Danio rerio: one gene and its partners. The protein of the gene in region 4 interacts with the protein of the main gene of each other region in a biochemical or structural test. Links are inferred from orthologs where the notes say so. Each region holds a gene or a part of one and is shown on either strand. Other genes may lie near its edges.

Evidence for each region.
Region 1: the proteins of tbp (region 4) and btaf1 form a complex in vitro, tested with the Homo sapiens proteins (2 studies listed by BioGRID). The link is inferred for Danio rerio from reciprocal best matches to the Homo sapiens genes TBP and BTAF1.
Region 2: the proteins of tbp (region 4) and gtf2a1 form a complex in vitro, tested with the Homo sapiens proteins (7 studies listed by BioGRID and IntAct, with this or other methods). The link is inferred for Danio rerio from reciprocal best matches to the Homo sapiens genes TBP and GTF2A1.
Region 3: the proteins of tbp (region 4) and gtf2e2 form a complex in vitro, tested with the Homo sapiens proteins (2 studies listed by BioGRID). The link is inferred for Danio rerio from reciprocal best matches to the Homo sapiens genes TBP and GTF2E2.
Region 5: the proteins of tbp (region 4) and gtf2e1 form a complex in vitro, tested with the Homo sapiens proteins (3 studies listed by BioGRID). The link is inferred for Danio rerio from reciprocal best matches to the Homo sapiens genes TBP and GTF2E1.
Region 6: the proteins of tbp (region 4) and esr1 form a complex in vitro, tested with the Homo sapiens proteins (2 studies listed by BioGRID). The link is inferred for Danio rerio from reciprocal best matches to the Homo sapiens genes TBP and ESR1.

The regions. Positions count from the first base shown.
Region 1 is NC_133188.1:46,115,295-46,119,360, forward strand, and holds the start of btaf1 (TATA-binding protein-associated factor 172), read right to left. Parts: upstream 2,801-4,066; 5' UTR 2,516-2,800; coding exon 2,502-2,515; intron 1-2,501. UniProt on the Homo sapiens protein: Regulates transcription in association with TATA binding protein (TBP). Removes TBP from the TATA box in an ATP-dependent manner.
Region 2 is NC_133195.1:17,669,755-17,673,254, forward strand, and holds part of gtf2a1 (transcription initiation factor IIA subunit 1), read right to left. Parts: intron 2,281-3,500; coding exon 2,179-2,280; intron 2,102-2,178; coding exon 1,948-2,101; intron 1,866-1,947; coding exon 1,801-1,865; intron 934-1,800; coding exon 858-933; intron 1-857. UniProt on the Homo sapiens protein: TFIIA is a component of the transcription machinery of RNA polymerase II and plays an important role in transcriptional activation. TFIIA in a complex with TBP mediates transcriptional activity.
Region 3 is NC_133176.1:24,451,986-24,456,016, reverse strand, and holds the end of gtf2e2 (transcription initiation factor IIE subunit beta), read right to left. Parts: intron 3,269-4,031; coding exon 3,086-3,268; intron 1,339-3,085; coding exon 1,245-1,338; intron 1,132-1,244; coding exon 1,016-1,131; intron 890-1,015; coding exon 770-889; 3' UTR 501-769; downstream 1-500. UniProt on the Homo sapiens protein: Recruits TFIIH to the initiation complex and stimulates the RNA polymerase II C-terminal domain kinase and DNA-dependent ATPase activities of TFIIH. Both TFIIH and TFIIE are required for promoter clearance by RNA polymerase.
Region 4 is NC_133188.1:27,610,667-27,614,635, reverse strand, and holds the start of tbp (TATA-box-binding protein), read left to right. Parts: upstream 1-1,169; 5' UTR 1,170-1,241; intron 1,242-1,682; 5' UTR 1,683-1,763; coding exon 1,764-1,817; intron 1,818-2,666; exon of another isoform or gene 2,667-2,751; intron 2,752-3,969. Other genes in the region: zgc:153169 (uncharacterized protein), read right to left, coding at 261-321. UniProt on the Homo sapiens protein: The TFIID basal transcription factor complex plays a major role in the initiation of RNA polymerase II (Pol II)-dependent transcription.
Region 5 is NC_133184.1:29,390,238-29,394,473, forward strand, and holds the start of gtf2e1 (general transcription factor IIE subunit 1), read right to left. Parts: upstream 2,801-4,236; 5' UTR 2,668-2,800; intron 83-2,667; 5' UTR 1-82.
Region 6 is NC_133195.1:29,079,946-29,083,445, reverse strand, and holds part of esr1 (estrogen receptor), read left to right. Parts: intron 1-78; coding exon 79-417; intron 418-2,033; coding exon 2,034-2,172; intron 2,173-3,500.

The DNA of each region.
Region 1 (4,066 bases), about 19 Mb from region 4:
TAATTATTCATTAATCGTAATAGAGTAAAAATATTCAATTAAGCAAGATTTTTATTAAAGGCCAAATCGGCCAGCCCTATTATTAATGTAAAATTGGTTTTATATTTGCACATTTGCTCACATGCTCCTTTACCATACTTCTAAAATCACACATATCATCAAAACAACACTCTTTAGGCTATTTAACTATGAACAATGTTGTACTTTGATAGTCAATGGCTGCTAATATGATTTTACCATTTAGAGTTTGCAAAGATTAGGCTGCTTCTCTGAATTTATAGTATATTACAAAGGAGAAAATCTGAATGCGCAAATAGAAAAATCAACTTTACCTCAATGACTGTATGGGCATTTTAATAGCATTAGTGCATAAGAAATTGTATGTTTGTAACATTAATAACGCTTAATTTAATTTAATTCTCTACAGGGCTCAACAATAAGGACTGCCTAATGGCCCGGGCCAGCATTAGAGAAGCTCATGACAGTTGACAGAATCGTTACTGGCCCGATCAGTGCTGCCTTGCCATTAAAGTTTAATTCGCCTGCGACTATTTGTCAATTGCATGCAAATTTAAAATATAAAAATAATGTCTTAGAATGGATAAACAGTGCTTTTAAGACTATCTTCTCTGTGATATCGTAAACACAATATTGCTTTTCGGTTCCCCTTATCTGATTGGATGTTATGAGCATGTTATTTTTTTTCTTAACCAGGTAACACCCATTATAGCAAAGAGACGGAAACATTGCAGCAACATCAAATGATGAGGTTAAAAGAAAACGTCCGTTTCCAACATCTTGGAAGCAGACATTTACACAAGTACAACATGACCAATGAAGTAATGTTTTGCACAGTTTGCCGTCAGTTTGTCAAGTCAGCCACCTTTTGTTAAATAATTTAGAACTGCAATAAAATACCAGCACATTTTCCATAGTGCTCTTTTTGTTTGCATAACGCTTACAATTTTTCTCATTATACAATTATTAACATGTTTTACGTTTAATTTCTAGATTCATTAGATGACACATTTAAAATATGTAGCTAAGAAATAGGCAACTAATGGGTAAGTTAAGGTAACTTAAACTATTTGAGAAAACCGACAAACCATTTAAGTTCAAAAACTAATCTAAATGAGTACTGTGAACTTAATTTGAGTAAATGAAGCAATTTGAGCACAGTAAAACCCAATAAATGAAGAGAACTCAAACCAGCTGAGTACTGCAAAACCCAATAAGTTAAGGCAACTCAAACCGCTTGAGGAAACCGATTGCTACAAACCATTTGAGTTAAAAACTAATGTATACGAGTACTGTAAACTTACTCCATTTAAGTTGAAGTAATGAGGTATTTAATTAACTCATCACCTTCAACAATGAGTTCAAAACTCTTTTCAAATGAGTAGAATTAATCGATTTCGAGTTACCTACACTCATTTCATTTGATAAAACTGACTGGTGGGTTTTTGCAGTGTACTAACTTTTTTTTTGGAGGGGCCAGTGAAAATTTTGGCAGGGCAAGTAAATAATTGAACCACTGGCTCGGTTGGGCCAGTAGAAAAAAATCATTAGCGTTGAACCCTGCTCTATACAATGAACACAATGCAGTATTATTCTAAATTTGATTATTCAAATGATGTACCTGACTACTGTTTTATTCCTCAAAACACCATAAAATACAGTTGATTTCATTTGTATCTTTAACTCAGGGTCTATGCATCCCCAGAAAATCAAGTGATTCTGTTCACACACTGACATCAAAAGATCTAGACTACATTAGGTTTGTTTATGAACTAACTAGGCATTATTAGTAGTAATAACCGATGTGTGATCAACATGGCGCCGCCCATGAGGAGACGAACCGATCGGATCTATGAAGATACAGGCTTCCAGTATTAATGAATCCCTTAATGTGTACAACTTTAATTACTTAAAAATAAATAAATGATAAAAATACACATATCCCAGCAGGTTTCCTCACACCATCCTGTCAGAAGCGTTACATAACGGAACAATAATCTACCGCATCAACTGAAGAGATGGATTAGGAGAAATGAGAGCTGCCTTAATTCAGTCTGTGTCTTTAGCTCACTGACAAGAGCCCAGCCCGGACAAGGATGACACTGCAGGGTTAGTCCACTAATCACCCGTGGATTTACACATTAACCGGAGATTTACCAGGATAAAGTGGAACCATTATGACAGACCACAAACTGTTGGATTCATAACGCACAGCCCGAAATGTAACCCACTATGATATATTGCACTAAAATAACACGGTTAAATGTACTGACGTGTCATATTTTGTAGGTTGTTTCTGCAGTGTTTGGCTGGGAGGTAACTTAATATTATGGTTCCTTGTTTTAAAATGTTGACCGAGCTCAACTGACAGACGCTTTTACTTAACGATAGGATGGATAGCATGTCGTTAAGTGATAGGAATGAGCAAATTGAAGTGTGGAGTGGCATGGTTGCTGGAGATGAGGTATTATCCATAGACTCACCTTGAAACGGCCATGTGTGAGCTGTTCGGGGGTCCGGGTTTGTGTCCGGCCGAGGGTTCGGGTTCAGGTTCGGCTGCTGCTGACCGACGCGTGCGCGGACAGGCCCGAAATCTCGCGCACTGCCTCAAAATCCGCCTGCTCGCTTATTAAATATTTCCCACAGCGCCCGAAGACGCTTGAGTAACTCCACGCCAGCGTACAGATTGATTCAGCCCTCCGCACTTCCCCGAAAACGGTATTTTAATCGAACAAACGGGGAGAAATAATTTTGTAGATCACAAAAGAGAAGCCAGGCGGCTGGTTTTATATGAGGAGCCATCTTGCATTTATTCCTTCCTCCATGGTAGGCGCGCTGTGATTGGTTACATGGGCTCCGGCCGGCCAATCGCAAGGCACTTTGCAAAAGGAAGTACACTGTAGGAGAAAAAAACATGGTCCGGAAACACGGGTTTTATTCATCTTCTTTTCAGTAAAAATATATATAAATATTCATATATGCTGAATATAAAACTGTTTTTGTCGCTGTTCCACATTCGCATTCGACCAATTTAATAATAAAACTTGCATCAATGTCATCCTCTATAAATAGCAGTCGAAAATCCTAAAAGACAAGTATCAACTTCAAGATGCTTGATTAAGAAGTGCACTTAAAATTATATATCACGTTCATCCTGCAAAATAATTTCTAAGGTTTAAAGTCAATATTGGTGACCAAATATTTACATATTGAAACAATCAGGGGTGGGTTTAGTGATTTGGGGCCCGAAGCAGTTCCAGCCATGGGGCCCAACAGTCCTAAAACAAAACCATTTGTACTGTATGAGCATTTTAATAGCATTCATGCATAAGAAATAACGATTAATTTAATTTAATCATCTTTACAATAAACACAATGCAGCATTATATTAAATTTGATTATTCAAATGATGTACCTGAAAACTGTTTCACTCCTCAGAACATCATAAAATACAGTTCATTTCATTTTTATCTTTAGCTTTGGGTGTTATCATAGTAGGCCAGCCTGGTGAAATGGTGGTCCTTTTTTTCTCAAAAAGTGGACCTTTTTGCAGTTATACGCCTCAGTTTCTATTTAACTATGAGATTTAAATTCTGCATTTTAGTGATTTTTTGTTTTGCTGGATTAGCTAGTCAGATCTCATCATAACCACACTTTTTGATGTACTAAAATATTTCCTAAAAAATTGCATAAAAAATTTAAACAAGACTCATTTTTAAAATACAAATTTATTACATCATTTATCATTAGGAAAAAATTGCAATCTGTTAAAGTTTTAAAGTAAAAAAACTGTAGCCTACTGTCATTTATTATGCAAAAAAAAAAAAAACAAAAAAAAAAACTGGTCAGCACATTCAACTGTCCTCGGTCACAATTTGGCCATTTCATTAAAAAAGAATTAAAACATAATAATAATAATAATAATAATAATAATAATAATAATAATAATAATAATAAATTATTAATAGTAATAATTATTATTATTATTATTATTAATAATAATAATAATAATAACAATGAATTCTTCAGAATTTATCTGTTCTCTTTG
Region 2 (3,500 bases), on a different chromosome or scaffold from region 4:
TATGGAAAACAAAAATACTATGGAAGTCAGTGATTACAGGTTTCCAACATTCTATATATAATTGTGTGTGTTCAACAGAAAAAAATAACTCAAACTGGATTAGAATATGTAAAGGGTTAGTAAATGGTTAGCCATTTTTCGTCATGTTTGCTTGAAAGCTGGAATTGTAGTTAAAAGCAGAATAATCATCTTTTCATATTTTTTTTGTGGCTTCAGCATCTATATCTTTGACCTAAACATCAAGTTGAAGAAACAAACATGACTAAAACCTTAGTCAGGCATGTTACTTACACATTGCACTACCAGTGTAATTGCTGAGCTTAAATCATATATTATCATGATACTGGAATTTCAGTAGCAACTGGTAGTGAAATTAAGACGTCAATTTCCCGCTAACATTCAAACTCAGAGTTTTAACAGGTTTCACCAAAAGACTTTTAATTCTTTATATGACCATTATGGGTGATATTTTAGACTTATGGATCAGCTGGTCTATTGCAAAAGATTTTTACCCATCAAAAAAAATGTATTAATTTTTTCTTAGTCACATATTTTGCATATTGTCTTAAACAAGCAAACAACCCAAGTTTTATACACACGTATGTTTTTAACACTACTTATAAGCTCTTTAAAAACTACAATAAGCTAAATTTGTTTTTTAAATTTCAGTACTGATTGGCACCAAAAGCTATAGACAGCATTCTATATGAAGACAGCATTCTATATTATGAAACATATGGAATGAAACTTGTGCCATCCTGTAATGTTCTGTTAAAAGGGCTAGGCGATGTGGTTTAATTAAAGTAAGATGAAGGTAATTTTTTATTTTTTTTCTGGTAAATGTGTAAATGTTTTACCCTGAGGGGTGATGAGTTGCTGAAATGGTGCTACACCTGTGGGTAAAGCCAGAGTTGCTGCCGTGGCCGCTGCACTCTAGAGAAACCAGAGATTGAAACCAGAATTGAATCCATTGAGGACACACACATACATTAATGATCAGAGAAAGAGAGAGAGGTGTGGAGAGAGAGAGAACAATATCCTTGCTGGAATCTGCAGAGTAATCTAATTTGTAGTCTCCAGTTCGAGTTTTCCAGGAAGGCTCGTCCCTCCTCCGCATCTGCTCTCCTGCTGCCATTAAAGCTGATACTAAAGGGCCAAATCCATTTTTTTAATGAAAGTTGCAGATTTCTGAATAGTGAGTAATTGTGGCTGCTAGTGAGATTATATGGAGTTGCTCAAACAATGCTTCATTGAACAGTGAGGTAGCTTTTTCCAACTGAAGCTCCTTTTTCCTCATTGAAGCACTTGAATATGAACTCTGAACTCTTAGAGAAATAGTTTAAGAGGCGGGCTGCGTTATTGGATTTAATTGGAATAAATTATGTTTGTCCAAATCACCATTTTGATATGATTTCTATTAAATCGTACAGCCCTAATTACCAACTGTGCGAGGCGTGTATGGGGGCGGGGTTGTACTCTCTTCTGGCTGTTGTTATCAGTCTCAAACTATTTTTTTCCTTTTTCTGAAGGTCTTAACACTATCGCAGCGGTTTTCTTTTGTTATTTCAGCAAACAGTATTGTAATAAAATGGTATATTGTACTCTCCATTCACTGCGCTCTGAGTTCACCAAACTATGAGCATTTCCACTACTGAGAAACCTGGAAATGTGAAAAAGGGCCCATTCTCAATTCATTACCCTTTTAAAAACAGATTCCAGATTAAAAATCCACCTCTGGAGGACTTCAATGTAAAAAAAAACACAAACAATAAACAAGCTAAGCATTAAAACGTGACTTACCATCCCCGTCGCACTCATGTGCTGCATAATCTTAGCATCCTGAACAATGACCTGCTGCTGAGGAGCTGAGAATAGAGTAAAATCTGCATTAATAACTCATTCGTCACCATCAAGATCATTGTTATTGAAGTCGTGTTTCTGCCTCACTGGTCTGTGCAGGAGGCAGGAGGACTTGCTGCGGTTGGGTTTGTTGCTGTGTCTGCTGAGCCTGAGCCTGCTGCTGTTGAGCATGCAGAACCTGCTGCTCCTCTGTGTGAAAACCATCCACCGCCTTGGACTGCATCAGCTTACTCTCCCACAACTGCTCAGAGACCCATATGAAAATCAAACATCTCTCTGAGAGGCAGGATAACGTCATCTAAAGTTAAATCATTTTACCGTTTTGAGCTCCATCAGGACTTGTTCATCCACTCCCTCGTCCAGAAACAGCTCTCGGACTTCAGCAATGACATCCTCCATCACTGATCTATACAGTTTAGGCTAAAATGAAAGATATAATGCAATCACTTCTTTTAACACAACTACAATATATTATGAATGGATCTTGATAGTATGATTTCATCTTTTTAGTACTCAGGGTTTCTGCTGGTTTCACAGAGTTAAATGTAAGACTTTTTAAGACTCAAAGCACTAAAGTCTAAGGAAATTTTTAAATGGCCCAGATGGAAAAGTTTTTTTATTTGACCTCTCAAAAAAAAAAAAAACTATAATTCAGTACATTTAATAACACAATAATGAACTATTCAAATGTATTATTTTTTTTCTAAGCTAAATATTTTAAATATTGTGTAAAAACAAACAATCTCTTGTATTTTTCCCCAACATAAACCTTCTTTAAATTAAAAAATACACTAAATCTATGGACAACAATCTGTCGGTGTCCTCGGCAGTAAATAGATGAAGAACCTTTAAACAAATGTTATTGTAAGGAAAATATTTAAATCGTTAAGATAGAGTTAAAAATGACCTTTTTATATACAAAGTTTATAGTTTTATTGAGATGGATTGTTGGTGATTGTATGGGTTTTGGCCAGACTGGGTAGGTATACATGAACAAAGGAAAATTAAGACCCGTTTAAAAGATTTAAGACCTACAACAAAATATTTCACTAAATTCAAGACTGTTAAGGCCTAAAATTTGGATTTTGAGAGGCATTTTAAGGCCCTGCAGAAACCCTAAATACCGTATATCAGAATATGATAGATTTGTTCATATTTCTGACATTTCTGACTCCTAAATATCCATTAGCAAGTACATGCATATTTATAAACAATGTGAATACTTCCATGAAGGTTGTATCAAATTATAACAATGTTGTGTTATATATATTATGTAACAACTATTGTGAGATATTAAAAACAAAAACATTTAAATGTTATTTATAAATGCACTTTATTCCTGTCTGTGATGCAAAACTGAATTTCCAGCATCATTACTCCAGTGTCACATGAAACATTAGAAATCAATCACTCTATTTTGACAATTTGCTGTTCTTTTATGATTATTCATGATCAGCTCAATTATTAATTGGAGCAATTTTTACCAAAACACTGAAACTGTTTCTACATTTTTTTGTGTAAGCATTAAGTAAGTATTTTAGAGTACTTTAGAAATGCTCAAATGTCGTTGATGTTTTTAAAACAATTATATTTGATTTAACAAAGTCACATGAGTGGTAATTTCATATATGAGACATCCA
Region 3 (4,031 bases), on a different chromosome or scaffold from region 4:
TGAATGAGAGAGAGTGTGATGCTGTCTGTGTGTGTGTGTTTATACTTATCTATTATATGTGTTGTTAAACGGGGTGGGTCGGGCTGCAGGACAACAAATGCTGAATATAAGTGGGAGCGGTGGGGTTCTGACTAAAACCTGGTGGAAGCAGGATACAAAATTTAGTCCCATGCAGATCTCTAACACAGACATCCACACACTAATAAACATTATGAAAACTAAAGTTTGTTGTAAAGTTGGAAGTTCAGTTCCCTTATTTGGTACCCCAGACCACCTCCTTCAGGTGGACTTGGGTACGGTTTGTTGTGCCCACTTGAATTTAGAAGACAACGTTCACACTAGCTAAACGTACCATACTCTGATGTCAAACAAAACCGGGTGCAGACCAAAAGTGCTAGTGTGAAAGCACCCTTAGTGTATTGCACCGGGTGTATGATAGGGCCTTATAAAGGTATTTTTTTTAAATACATCATTAATAAACTCAAAAAAGAAACAACAGATGTGGTTTGATTGCTCTTGTTTAATCTTTAAACCTAAAAAAAGAAGAGCTCAAAAGTCCATTTTTAAAGCACTAGCAAAAAGTAAAACGTAATGTTGGAAAGGAAATATTTACAGTCTGTTCACATTTGTGCCAACTCAGAACAGTTCTAAAGTTGTGTATGTGTATGTCTGCATATCTTTATGGTTGACAATAAGACGTTATCAGAACAGATATACAAACATCACAGATATCAGTCTCATCACTCTGAGCTTTTTACAGCTGTGTGTGTCACTTCTTTGAGGGAACTCCATCGAAGTAGTCCTCCAGCACTCCATTCAGATGGTCATTGTGAGTCTTATAGCGTCTCTTTCTCTGGGTTCCAGGTTTCTTCCTCTTCTGAATTGGTGTCTGTGACAGCCAATCACAAATCACATCAACCTCACACAAACATGCACGTAATAGCCAGTCTGAAGAGTGTGTTTGATTTTCTGTGTGTAAATGTTGATTTCTATGTGTTTGAGAGACAAATCGTACCATTTTCTTTGGTCCAGTCTCCTGCATTGATGAGATGCCCTGTTTCTTCAGGTACTCTTCGATCTTCTCCTCATCTATGGAATCAACAGGAACACTCCGCCACAGCTTCTGAAACTCTGGAAAATAAAAAGACACTGATATCCCAACAGAACATCGCAGGAACTCTTCTTTCAACAAACAGTAATGGACAAAAATGAACCAGCTTTGAATTGTGATGAGAGTCACATACCTTCATCCACGACAAACTGACAGTGCTTGTCATTGTAGAATAGAATCTTCTTCTTATCTGGTCTAGTCACAAATATAATCTGATCCCCGAGCGCCTGAACAAAACCAATTAAAACAAATTAGAGTATTTCATGCTATTAAAGCCTTGTGTTTCCATCTCAAACATTTATGATATATAAAAATATCTAAAATGTCAATTGATTAGCATTTCTACTAATGTGGCTGCAATCAGATCCTAATTTAATATGTGCAGGAATTATTCTTGATGAAAAGGTTTTTTTAGTATATAAACATGTTACACTGAATGACATTTATGAGAGTTTCTAAAAAAAATGAACAAATTAAAATAAATAACTGTATTTTTTGCAATCAAAGCCTTGTTATTTTCATTTTAAACAAGGTGTATATACATCACAATTAATTAAATTCACAATTAATAAGCTTTTTAGAGCTGCAATGTGATCCTAATTTAATGTCATGAAATCATTCTTTTTGAAATGATTATATAAACTACTGTCAAAGTGAATGACATTTATGTTGTTTTCTAATGCTGAAAAAAAAAGAAAATTACCTGAACAAATAAATAAAAGGGTATGGATCAGGTTTCCACATGGTATTATTGTGTCTTTTAGTGGTCCGTGACTACAAGTGGTCACTTAAGATGGCAATATTTTTTCAATAATTACAATACAGTTTAGCTGTATTATTTATATTTCTAATAATTATAGCCAAAGCAAAAAAAAGGCTACTTCACACCATTCTTGTTGACAGAACCAACTTTTGTGTATATACATAAATAAATATATACTACAATACATGCATGATCCTGGACTACAAAACCACTCTAACATGATCCAAATTCAAGTCTTAGTTTTGCAAATTACTAATCATTTACAGTAGGGTACTTTTACATTTACAGTAGACAAAATGTCTTCATGAAACATGATCTTAATATTTCAAAGACTTTTGGTATCAAAAAAATCTATAGTTTTCCTGGGCTCAGAGCCCTTTTTTGTGTACTTGGTAATTTAAAGAGCCTCTACTACACATTAAAAAGGGTCAAATTTACATTAAATGTTCCTGGGTTTGCGCATGCAATAATTGGGCGGGGCATAAGTCTCGTATCGACTCTTTTATAAATGCATCAATTGTTTTAAACACGGAGCACTTTCAGATTTAAGCCATAACTGGATATTTCACTTCACTTAGAGCTGTGTTACACACTACATGGAAGGTCATTGTCAAAAACCCATAATAGGGGCTCTTTAAAGAGGACCTAATGCGCAAAAATCACTTTTATAAGGAGTTAAACAAAATTGTGTGGAAACAAGGTGGGAATATAGCCAGATTTCAACTGTACAAAATCATTAATTAATTTCATTTTAATCACACTTCATAAAAGCAGTCTGCAGAAACACTGTCTGACATTCTTCCTTTGTACATCAGAGGGGGAAAGCCCCGCCCATTAGTGACAATCTCTCCATTATTAGCATAAACAGTTTTAAGTGAGATGCAGTCACTAATGATGGAATGGTGATGGTTGTCTGTAGCTCTGCACTCTTTTGAAAGGAGGGCTGGGAGTACATACTCATTTGATTTTAAAGAGACAGTCACCATAAAAGCACTGTTTGGATCAAAGGCTAAAAGGAGCAGTTTCAAAGAACTAAAAAAATTATTCATGGGTTATAAGATGCCAAAACTTTGCATATACACTCTAGGGACATCAGAGACTTCTTTTATATCTTGTAAAAAGGGGCATATCAGGTCCCCTTTAAATGTACGGTTTAGTAAATGTTTTTTTTTGTTTTGTTACTAATGAGTGACAGCATGATGGTGTATTACTTTAATAGCCTTGGCTGCATTGGGTAGCCCCTCTTCAACATCATCCAGTAACACTCCTCCGAGACCAAGCTGATCGTGTTTGTCCAGAAGTCTAAGCAGAGCTTTCTTATCCTTCAGATGATACTTGGGTTTAAAGGCATATTTCCCTTCCCGCACATCAATCTTAGGATTACTTGCTAATGCCTGGAGGGAAGGAGAGAGGGAAAGGTTACATGCTGAATTCTTGTTCGAATGTCGATCTTGCCCTTGAAAACATATATTGCGTGTCATTACATTGCTTGTTGGAACATTGGTCAATAAAAGTATTCTGCAGCATATAAATCCAAGTATTATATAATTATAATAATATTCTGGAATAAAAAAACATAAACATAAAAATAATAATTTAAAACCACAGGAACATAGCTATCCCATACTCTTTGTGGCCTTATAAATATATTTTAAAAGAAAAAAAAATTTACATACATTTTCAATTTTACATACAGCAATATCTGTAAAGTCAGATGTTTTTACAGACAGCTGTATGTTTGCTAGTGGTGTGCGTTATGAACACAGAAAAATATAAATATTAATTTTTTAGGGATTTTTTTGTATTTTGAACAATAATAATTTAAAATATTTTGTTGAGTTTGTTGTTATGCTGTTAAGGCCTATCATAGATAAAATAATAAACAGGGTTCCCACACTTTCATTAACTGCAGATTCAAAGACTTTCAATGACTTTTTAAAGCACCCTTATTTTGATAAAGAACACTTGTAATTCATACCCCAGTATTTGTAGTGCCATGAAAGTCCTAGGGTCTGTTCTTTGTACCTCGCTTAAATGATCTAAGATGATTTGGCAGATCCTGGATCTTTTAATCTTGATAACTGATCTCTGGCTAATTTGGTTCTTCAAACAAGTTCGCAAATCAGATTAAAATGTCTGGATGAACTGATCTGAGAT
Region 4 (3,969 bases):
TAATACTCGTTGTTGTTGTTAAAAACTAAGTTGCCTATTACTTATACATGGCATCATTAAAATACATATTATATAAAGTCTGCTAAATTTTTTAATAACGTTATGCAAATAAGATAGATAAGGAGAAAGATTTATCTAACAACTGAATCAGTAATAAGAATAGTATTTTAATCCATCGTTCACAAGAGGTTCCAGCCGACTTTAAATAATAAAAGTCCATGCAGTTGGCTGATGATAGCGCAAACAGGTGTCAGATTTACCTGCCATTGCAGTTTCTACAACATCTGTAGCGTTTTGTCCAGCTAGCAGCAAACTTCTCATTCTGTCCACTGCAGGGCGAGAGAAAGACCATGTTCCCACAGCTGCCATTTGACACAAATGTATTGAAATACATCTATTTATGTACAGGAAAAGTTCGTTTCCATCGTTTGTAAGACTTTAAAACACAGTTTTACGTCCGGGGGTTATTAAAGCACAATTTCAAAATAAAAGTCTATGCGTTACAAAGACAGTTTAAAGGGCCATACTATGCATAATGTACACAATGTGTCATTTTTAAAGTGACATAAACTGACTTTTTGACATGGCCTGACTTTCAATAAAATTTGTATTTTGATTCAATTTCATACATAATTAAGCAATAATGCAGTGATTTGAATTAATGCACAATAATGTATATTGCAATAATACGTTAAAGATTTTAGATTTATTTATTGTAAAAAAAATATAAAGAAAACAATAGGTACATTTTTAACGTTTACCCTTTTTGCACAATAAAACGACTATTTCAATGTGGTCATGTCATTGGCCCAAGTATGAACATTTTCCTGCTTGTTATCATACTATTTCATAACTGTAATGTTAGGCAATTCAATCATAAATTAACATTAAAACAGCTGTCATAACCTTATTTAGCAATATGTATTCACCAGTTTTGCATTCTCTGAAACTATAGAAATTAAAAATGTAAAACAGGAAATACATCGGGATCATTGTTCTTGTTTACATCCATCAAAATGGTATATAAAATATATATTTTTTGTATTGAAGCATATAACTGACAAGCATACAGGATTATATGTAAAATATCACAAATTTGATTTGAACATGCGAGCTAATAGTGCACCGGAAGCGCATATTAAAGACGGCGGAAGTTGTTGTGAAGTCTCATGTTTTGCGCGCTCCCTGCGCTTCTGGAACTATTCAGCTCGTAGCCAACCGGTGGATCCTGCGAATTATCGGTTTGTTTGGCTGTCCTTTGATCTAACACTGTTTCTAGACGGAGAACTGTATTACAAGTGTTAACTGCTTGGGTTTTTAACGAACATATTAAAGTTAGCTCCAAAATTAGCCTCGCTAAACACGCTGTGCTGCATTCCTGTTCTGCTCACTATCACCTCTTTAACATTGTCAACTCTGTTCTCTTGAATGGGAATTCTATTATTTAGTGTTTCTGTAGGTCCTCGTACTGTTGGTCAATTTACGTATTATACTTTCTTTATAAATCCAGAATAACGTTACTGTGTTCTTTTAATTTAACGTTCAGATATTGCATTAAATTTTCTCTTGTGCATGTCTGTTTATTTAGGTGCACTTGGGATTTTTATAATCGTGTCTGCACTGTTGTGTGTAATCGGATTTTTAATATTTGTTAATTTGTATCTTTTTTTCGTTCATTTTAGTTTACGTCTTTTGGAGCCACTGAAGTTTTATAGGGAAGCCCTGAACCACTGCTCTGTTGTTTTGCTTCATAACCCGTCAGCATGGAGCAGAACAACAGCCTACCTCCTTTCGCTCAAGGTCTGGCATCTCCACAGGTGAGGAATGGATTGTTTAGTTAACGGGATTTTCCCAAAAATGACATTTCTTCATTTACCTATACTCAAGTGCTTATAAACATTTATAAACGTCTTGCTGTGGGTGAACAGAAAACAAGATATTCTGAAGAATTCTGTGGAAACATAAAAAGATACAGGAACAAACTCCAGTAGCCATTTTTTTTACATTTCAGTAGAGATTTGTAAAAGTTGGTTGGGTTGCACTATAATGGAAAAGTCGGATATTGCGATACTTTGTTTTTCTATGCTAAATAAAGCAATACGAATACCATTTCACAAGATGAATGAGTCTATCAGTATTCAGGTGCAGAAACTGAATAACCACAGTAGAAAAAAATGCTTTTCTTACACTGTCTTGTTTCCAGTCCAAATATAAAAAAAAATTAGTAAAGTAAAAAAATTGTTTTGTTTTCACTGTTAGTAGAAATATTAAGTGATTTTCCCTAAAACAAGCTAAATAATCTGCCAGTGAGGTGTTTTTTTCCATAAATTATAAATTTCGTATAAAGACTCGGTCAGTGAGGCTAAATCTAAATATTTTTCAAATTTGATTACTAAAAGTGCAAGTAAGCCAAAAGTCCTTAAAACTATTAAAAAATAGTCCTTAAAACTATTAATTCAGTTCTTAATCCAACTATGTGCTCTGTTCCTGTTGTCAATCTGGAGACGTGCATAAAGTTCTCTGACTTTTTTACAAGATATTAAATCACACCTCTTTCCCACCGACATAGATCATTCTGATTCGGTCCCTCCATCCAACAGTTTCACAAATTTTCAGCCTGTATCTTCTTCTCAGCTACTTAATAAAATTTTTCAGATGAAACTCACCTTTTGTCCTTCAGATGTACTGCCTTGCCGTCTTTTTCAAGAGGTTTTAGATACAATCTGCCCCTCACTCTTAGCTTTAATAAACAGCTCCTTAATAAACAGGGTTTTTCCAGATGTCTTTAAACATGCTGTTGTAAAGCCTCTATTAAAGAGGCCTAATCTTGATCCCGCTGTGCCTGCCCACTACAGGCCCATATCTAAGCTCTCATTTTTCTCAAAGGTTTTAGAGAAAATTGTAGTTTCACAATTAACCTGGACATTTTTAATATTCTAGACCCTTTACAATCTGGTTTTAGAGCAAAACACAGCACTGAGTCTGCACTACTAAAAGTCACAAATGACATTTTACTCTTCATGGATTCTGGATCATCTGCGATTTTAATACTTTTAGACCTAAGCGCTGCTTTTTATACCGTAGATCACAACATATTATTGAAACGACTTGAGTGTGTTGTTGGGGTTCAGGGCCTTGCCTTGCAGTGGTTCTCCTCATATCTAAAGGGGAGATCTTTTTCTGTAAATATTGGATCCTTTACTTCACCACCTAAACCTATTCATTGTGGTGTTCCACAAGGATCTATTCTTGGCCCTCTTTTATTTTCTCTTTATATGCTTCCTTTAAGCTCAATACTCCTCAAACATAACATAAGCTATCACTGCTATGCTGATGATCTCCAACTATACTTTCCAATCAAACTAGGAAAAGATTTATCATTAGAAAATATTTTCCTATGCCTTACCGACATTAAGACCTGGATGACAAATAACTCTCTGCAACTAAACAAGAATAAAACAGAAGTGTTAATTTTAGGTCCTGCTGCTACCAACAATTCAATTAAAACTTAGCTAGGAGCCCTAAACGACAATCTGCACAATCACGTCAAGAATCTCAGAGTTATCTTTGATCCACTCTTGCAGTTTGACAAACATGTAAATGCGGTTGTGAAGAGCAGTTTGTTCCAGCTTAGATTGGTGGCAAAAGTTAAACCCTTTCTTTCTAAAAAAGATTTAGAAATCGTAACCCATGCTTTAATCTCCTCTCGGTTAGACTACTTCAACTCTTTGTACATTGGCCTACCTCAGTCAACACTCTTTCGGCTACAGTTGGTCCAAAATGCAGCCGCCAGATTAATAACAGGAACTAAGAAAAGAGATCATATCTCCCCTGTCCTCGCCTCATTGCACTGGCTACCTATAAAATACAGGGTTGCTTTTAAAATTCTTCTTTTCACTTATAAAGCTTTGCACAATTCTGCCCCCGCCTATGTCAGCGAGCTTATTAGGCCATATACAGCTTGTAGAC
Region 5 (4,236 bases), on a different chromosome or scaffold from region 4:
AAGAATGTGCTGTCATAAAGGGTCAGTTTGTCTTTTATGCAAGACAGTGAAGAGTTGAACTTTAGGTTTCTTGGAGGAAGGTCTGTGAAAAGTAAAAAAACAGAAAATTTCTGAAAAATCACCTGCTTACCATATTTTATCCATGACATACAGAAGAAAAGATTAGTAGTTAATACTTACATTTACAAAACCAACATGAAAATAAAAAGCCATCAACCTTTTGATTTGATTGATGGATTGATTTATTTTTGCAACCCCTGGGGTGTTTATTTTATATTAAAAACACAGCACATTGATTTTATGGGACCAGGTTAAACTTTCTGACACCTTTACAGCACTCACCTACATCAAAAATATGACAATGAAAACAACAATGAAACTTATTTAACTTAACTTATAAAATCATTTTGTGTGTGTGTGTATATATATATATATATATATATATATATATATATATATATATATATATATAGGAATACTTTTAACTGTCAAACTGTAATATAGCGCCTTAAATCCCTCATTTAATAAACAACATCATAATTCGGTTGTTTGTTAATAACTGATGCTTTCAAGAGTCATTCTAGGGCTGGGCTGATAAACAATATCATATCAAATCGCAATAAAATTTGTCAATAACAATGATGAGCTCTGGACGTTTTTACTTTAATTGATCTAAGAGCCAATCACACAGCAGAAATGTAAACAATGGGAATGTAAAAGTGTGTGGTTATTAGAGATATTTTGCCATTGCTTTGGCATATGTTAGGCCTGTTAATGGTTTAATAAAGCTTTTAATTTTTGTGGCTTCAGTCATTGTTGGGGGTAAACCTCTCTTTTAAATTTGAAAGCATTAGCAACTTCTATTGAAATATATATATCGTTATCATTCAATATGGAAAATAATTATTAAGATTGCATTTTTGCCATATCACCCAGCCCTAGGTCATTTTCAATAGTATTTCTACAATCTTTTTTTTTAAATAACTAGATAATTTTACCTTAAAGGGCACCTATCATAAAAATCATCTTTTGTGAGCTGTTTGGACACAACTGTAAGTAAAGTGTGTCCACAGTCATATTGGAGTGATATAAAGACAATAGGTCTCTTTTTCTATTTCCTGATGTTGAAATAGCATCCAAATCCATCCCATTTTAAGACCCACTGCACTGTGATGTAGGAGCGCAGTTTTCCTGCCCACTGAACTGATTGACAGCCTCATATTAACATGTCATCGCAGTAACGAGTAAAATCATATCAACAAGATATCAACAAGAAGACTACACGCAAGCGATTTTACCGTCTTTATAACCACAGCCCCAGGTCAGTACAATTAAAAAAAGAAGACCTTTCAATCCGTTTGTGGATGTTAAATCAGGTTTATTTTGTACATTAACATAATGGATGTCCATAAAGCAGGGGATATTAATGTGTATCCTCCTGTCACATTTACGTGCAAAAACAGTGCAAAGTTAAATGCGCGCACTGTGTGTGTAGGCATGGGCCGGAATAAGATTCTGATTTTATAACCTTGGAAAAAATATCACTGTTTCACGATATTGTAATTATTCCTCCAAAATAAATTATTTTTAAATGTCTGGGACACAACAACTTTTGCCCCTATTGAACACAATAGATTTATTTTATATATATATATATATATATATATATATATATATATATATATATATATATATATATATATTAGACCAGTAGCTTTTAGTGTAGAGGTTCCTTTTTTGCTGGAGATTCTGTTGCCCTAAAAAAACTAACTAAAGTAATCGTGAAAAAAAAACAAAAAAACATACACATACCTTAGAAACTGTATAACTGAAAACATTACGGTTTTAAAACTTTTACTATTCACAACTGTTTATCGTCCCATCCCTGTGTGTGTGTGTGTCTGTGTAAACTTTCTAACAACATTGTGTGCGACTCATCATAGAAAGGCTTGAATTAACTCCACAACAAATACATCAAATAATCATTGGGAGATTTCTTACTGAAGTATTTCTCACAAACTTTACGGGAGATCTTTTTGTCACTGTGCTGTTTATCTGTCGCAGCCGAGGCAGAGATTGAGGCACACTCCGACAGGCACGAGGGAACGGTGGGCAGGGTGAATTGGCATTAAGGGCGCAGGCCACAAAAACAGCTACATTGTGTTCAAAGCAGAAAATTCCAAACTTCTAAAGGTATAATAAATAATCTGAGAGGTGTTTTGAGCTGAAACTTTACAGACCCATTCTGGAGACACAAAAGACTTATCTTAAATCTTGATTAAGGGGTAAAATAGGTGCCATTTAAAGGAATATCAGCTGAAGTCAAAACAGCAATGTTCAATTTGTCACTGAAATCTTTGTAAGGTTAGAAATGTCAGAAAGATTAGTTAAAGGTCTAAGATGCACCATGCAGAAACCATTATGGAAAACATATCAATCAGAATTTTTTTTACCGTGTTAACAGCAGTCATTCAGGTTAACATGGAGTTTAAACACGTAAATAAAAGGAGCTCATTTAAGAACGATGTCTAAGGGTTAATTACTTTAGAAACGAAGATAAGTTTATGTTGTCTTAAATTTGTACTTCAGTTACACGCAAAAAGTATGAAATAAATACGCTCAACGAAAATAATACAAAGCAATGTGAGAGTACAGATGACTACTCACCAGTTTCATGTATCTGGAGAGTTTAATGTAAGATTAACGCGATGATTCGGTATTTTGAGAAATGCTGTTAACGTTACATTCACACGTTTAGCAAAATAAACAACATGAAAACTGAATGAGATAAAATACAGTTCAAACCTTTAATTTTCCTCCTGTTTAGATCAGAGCAAGTTTCCTAGTTCAGCATCACGCTAACGTTTAGCGGAAATGACGTCCAGGATGTTGCTGAAAAGTCTATATACAATTCAAAACGCTTTACCAAAATATGTTGTGCATTAACCATTTTAAAATAATACATTTAGTCAGTATTTATAAAATCTTATTTTTATATCAAACTAAAAAAGTAAATAACAACTACTTGTTAAAAGTAATGTGATGCTGTGTACAATAAAAATCCCTTTAATTGTCTTTGGAACAATCCTACGGTACAAGTACCGACACTCGGCATGTAAAGTACACATGTTTATATGTTTGAATGAACGTATTTTGCTTAGACTTGTAAGGTTTAATTGTAAAAGCTTTTGTCATAGACGAAAGGAAGCCGCTTCCGCTGTGCTGCTTCCTTGTTGTTCACAGTGAAGACTACACGTGTGTCCAGAGAGTGATGCCAGTAAACAGAAAAAGAGAACAAGGAAAAGATGCTGCCGTGAGTCTGCCAGTGTTTAAATTCAGTTTATGTTGGTTGTAACAGGATAGGCTCAGTGCCATTAACTTTAGGAATCATGTCATTGAAATGTATTTTCGCCACTTAAAAACTGTCAAAAGTATCCCGTATTATGGTTCTCTGGCGTAGTTTAGTAGTGGTACTGCATAATAAAAATACTAAATTATATAATATATGATGACAATATGTGAACTGGAGTGTGAGGTGTCTAGGGGCCAAAGGCAGGGGCGGGATTTAACCAATAAATAAGGTAAACAGTCACTTAATCCCCCAGAGAATCTGGGAGCCCCCGATAAATGTATGGAAGCATAAATTATACCTACAAATTATGTAACATAGTTTACTATCATATGTTGGTGAAGGTCTAACAAATTTTAACGTCATTATTGCATGCAAAATTGTCCCCCGCCCCTAATCAGAGCAGTTTATTCAGGTAACAAAAAATTTAGTTTTAAAAATTAAATAGTTGATTTATTGTTTTAAATTGTGAATTTATTTTAAGAAAACAAATAATTTATAGTGTAGAGATTGTATTAAAATATAAAGTATTAAAGCAAAGGGCAGCACGGTGGCGCAGTGGGTAGCACAATCGCCTCACAACAAGAAGGTTGCTGGTTTGAGCCTCGGCTGGGTCAGTTAGCATTTCTGTGTGGAGTTTGCATGTTCTCCTCGTGTTGGCATGGGTTTCCTCCGGTCACTCCGGTTTACCCCACAAGTCCATAAACCTCTAGTACAGGTGAATTGGGTAAGCTAAATTGTCCGTATTTTATGTGTGTGATTGAGTGTGTATGGATGTTTTACAGTGATGGGTTGCGGCTGGAAGAGCATGCGCTGGCGGTTCATTCCATTGTGGCAACCCCAGATTAATAAAGCCACTAAGCTGAAAACAAAATGAATGAATGAAT
Region 6 (3,500 bases), on a different chromosome or scaffold from region 4:
TCACACAGTCAGCACAATATATTTGACCCTCTACAGTTTGAAAATTGAGTGTTATAGTGCAGCTGACTTGTGTTGAAGGTATTCGTAAAGATCGCGGCGGGCGTTCTGTCAGGCGTGAGAGAAGAAGAAGCAGTAATGAAGATCGAGACAAGAGCACCAGTGATCAGTGCAGCCGTGCTGGCGTGAGGACGACTGGCCCACAGGACAAGAGGAAGAAGCGCAGTGGTGGGGTGGTCAGCACTTTATGCATGTCGCCTGACCAGGTGCTGCTGCTGCTGCTGGGGGCTGAGCCACCCGCTGTCTGCTCACGACAGAAACACAGCCGGCCCTACACCGAGATCACCATGATGTCCCTGCTCACCAACATGGCTGACAAAGAACTCGTCCACATGATCGCCTGGGCCAAGAAAGTGCCAGGTAAAGTCCTTTCAGAGATCAATTAAAGTTAAAGGGATAGTTCACCCAAAACTGGAAATTTACTCACTATTTATTCATCCAAGGGTGTTTCCAGTTTCATTCTTCAGTTGAAGACAAAAAAGATATTTTAACCATCAACTTCCATAGTAGGAAAAAACATTCACTATGGCATTCAATGGTTGGAGGTTTAAAACATTTTTCAAAATATCTTCTTTTGTGTTCAACAGATGAAATAAACTCATAAAGGTTTGAAACAAGTAAAGAGTGAGTAAATGATGACGGAATTATCATTTTTAGGTGAACCATCCTTTTAATTGTAAGAACAGCATCAAAGGAAGGGTCTTTCAATATAAAATAATTCACGATTTTGCTTGTTTTTGTGCTGCTGTTTAAGCATAAACAAAAACCTTCAAAAGAAAGACAGAGCGACATTTTATTGGACAGAATTCGATTTTTAAGGCCAACAACAAATGGATGGTAGTGACTACAGCTATCTTTTTGCTAGGTTTGTGACATCACCAACCGTAAAATTTACATTACGCCCCCCCTAGACATCATCTTTCCTTTAATGTGCACTTAATGCTTAATGTGACGAATTAGAACACGCTGTGTCAATTGACCAATCAGAGCACATTATATATTTCTGATGGGGGGACAGGCCAAAAGATCAGTTTTAGGAGAACCGAAACAGCAGAATAAGAGTCAAATATATTAAATATTATCTTTGTTTGATTGTTTGTTTATTTTAATTGGAACAGTTTACCCAGTAAACATTGTCAACTCTTCAGGGATAGACGATTGATCAGCCCTTTAACTGCAACCACATCAAGTAACAGTCTTTTCAATCTGACGAAGGCACATCTAGGAAAGTGTCCTGGTGACAGCCTTGCCAGTTTATGTAACCCTGGCAGCAGGTTTGACAGCACAGGTGGCAGAGATTCAAATGACAAGGTCACAGACGCAAAGATAAAGAACATGACTGTTATTACAGTGATCTGTGCTGCAGCCTCCAGCTGAGCTCTGAACACAGATAAAGAGCTGCTGAGACTTTAAGGGAGTCATTATATTTCATGTTCAGTAGTCCTCATTACCCCTTTAACACACCTCAGAATAGTAAACAATTTGTCTCATCAGATTCAGTGGATGAAGTCCAATTCCATATTTTAGAATTATTTTCTGGTAGGTAAATATTTCTATTACTATTATTAGCACTATATATAAAATATAATACTGTTTTCTCGACACTAAACTGATTAGTTGTGTTTTCTTTGTATTTATGGATTACATTGATTATTGACATCTGGGGGAAAAAGTAAAGTCAACAGCACACTTAGAAACATGTTTTCTGAGGGAAATGCTGACATGTTTAATACTCTTTTATCCACTGTATATCTGTATAGATATTTTCAACTTCTTTTTGTTTCTAAAAATAATTTTGAATTCATTGGAGCACTGTAAAGCTTCTATATATTGTTGTGAGAAAACATGTCAAGATTCTCTGATAAATAAAAATAATTCTCTGAGGACAAAATATTTGTAAGATTAAAAAAAAATTGGATGCATTGTAAAAGAAAGTCTGACTAACCCTAGAGTTGTGAACATTCCTGTCTCACCAGGATTCCAGGATCTGTCTCTGCATGACCAGGTTCAGTTGTTGGAGAGCTCTTGGCTGGAGGTGTTGATGATTGGCCTCATATGGAGGTCCATTCATTCCCCTGGAAAACTCATCTTTGCTCAAGATCTCATCCTGGATAGGTACTGGATAATCCGAACCTCTACATGTAGGCCACTGTTAACATAGTAACAACAACAAAAGCAGTCAATGTAGAATATGTATTCCCACATTTCTGAAAACATAATTACCTAGTCCAGGAGTGTCAAACTCAATTCCTGGAGGGCTGCAGCCCTGCACAGTTCAGTTCCACCCCTGCTTCAACACACTTAAGCCACGGTCACACTGGACTTTTCTCCCCATAGACTTCCATTCATACACACATGAAGCGATCAGACCAAAAACACAAGCTCCTTCGCAGTTCACTTCGTTGAAAAATTCAAGCTTAGTGAACTCTGACCTGCGAAATTGCATCATGTGATTGCGTAAGACCAATCAAAAACCAAAACATGACCTCTCTAGACAGAAATTTAAAACATTGACCAATTGCTCGCGTTTTAATGTCTAACCATCTTGTTTAATACCGTCCCTTTTTGCAGCGATGCACGACAGAATTTCGCACACACAAACTAAGGTGACCGCTTGGAGGTTTCAAACAAGCCTAAAGAACTTAATTAGATTGATCAGGTGTGTTTAATTAGGGTTCGAACTAAACTGTGCAACCCTCCAGGAACTTAGACTATAGTAAAAATAAAACACAAATCCAATATAATGACACACTTCCAATCTCAGCATCATTTTTATTTATCTTTTTATAAATAAGTGTGAAAACAAAGGCTTTGAAAACACATTAAGTTGTTTTGATTAAACTGAGCGGTTTGACTGTTAAAAATAATAGAAAGGCACAAACATGTGACAACTGAAACCTGAGGGACGCCAATTATACTTCAACGAAACCCTGAGCTTTATTTTATTATCAGGCAGTCTTACTTCATACTGATGCTGTCAGTCTGATTGTGAGATTTTGAGATGTCATATTGACCCGATGCATTCCCTCTTATTTTTTGCCCCAATTTATTAAAGAACATTAAGTTGCATGCGGTTTTCTCCCCCGCAGAAGGCTGCGCATTACAAAACGAGATTGAAATATTGTGAAGCGAAAACTAGATTGTTAAAAAGGATGTGAACTGTTTACCCAAGAGCCTAGTGCTCCTCTTCAGAAGACCATGTCACAAAGTAGCATGTAATTAAAAAGGACCCAATTGGGAACAGGATCTTTAAAGGGTTTCCGAAAAACATCGCCATGATCACTGACTAAGGGAATATGAATTTAATCAAAACCAGCATCCGTATAAAGTAGCACTGTGAGCTTCAATGTTGAACAGAGCATCCCAGAGGATGAAGGAGAAAGATAAAACTGTTTGGTGAGAGAGACTGCTAAGAAAGAACAGATAGGATATAGAAGTCTTAT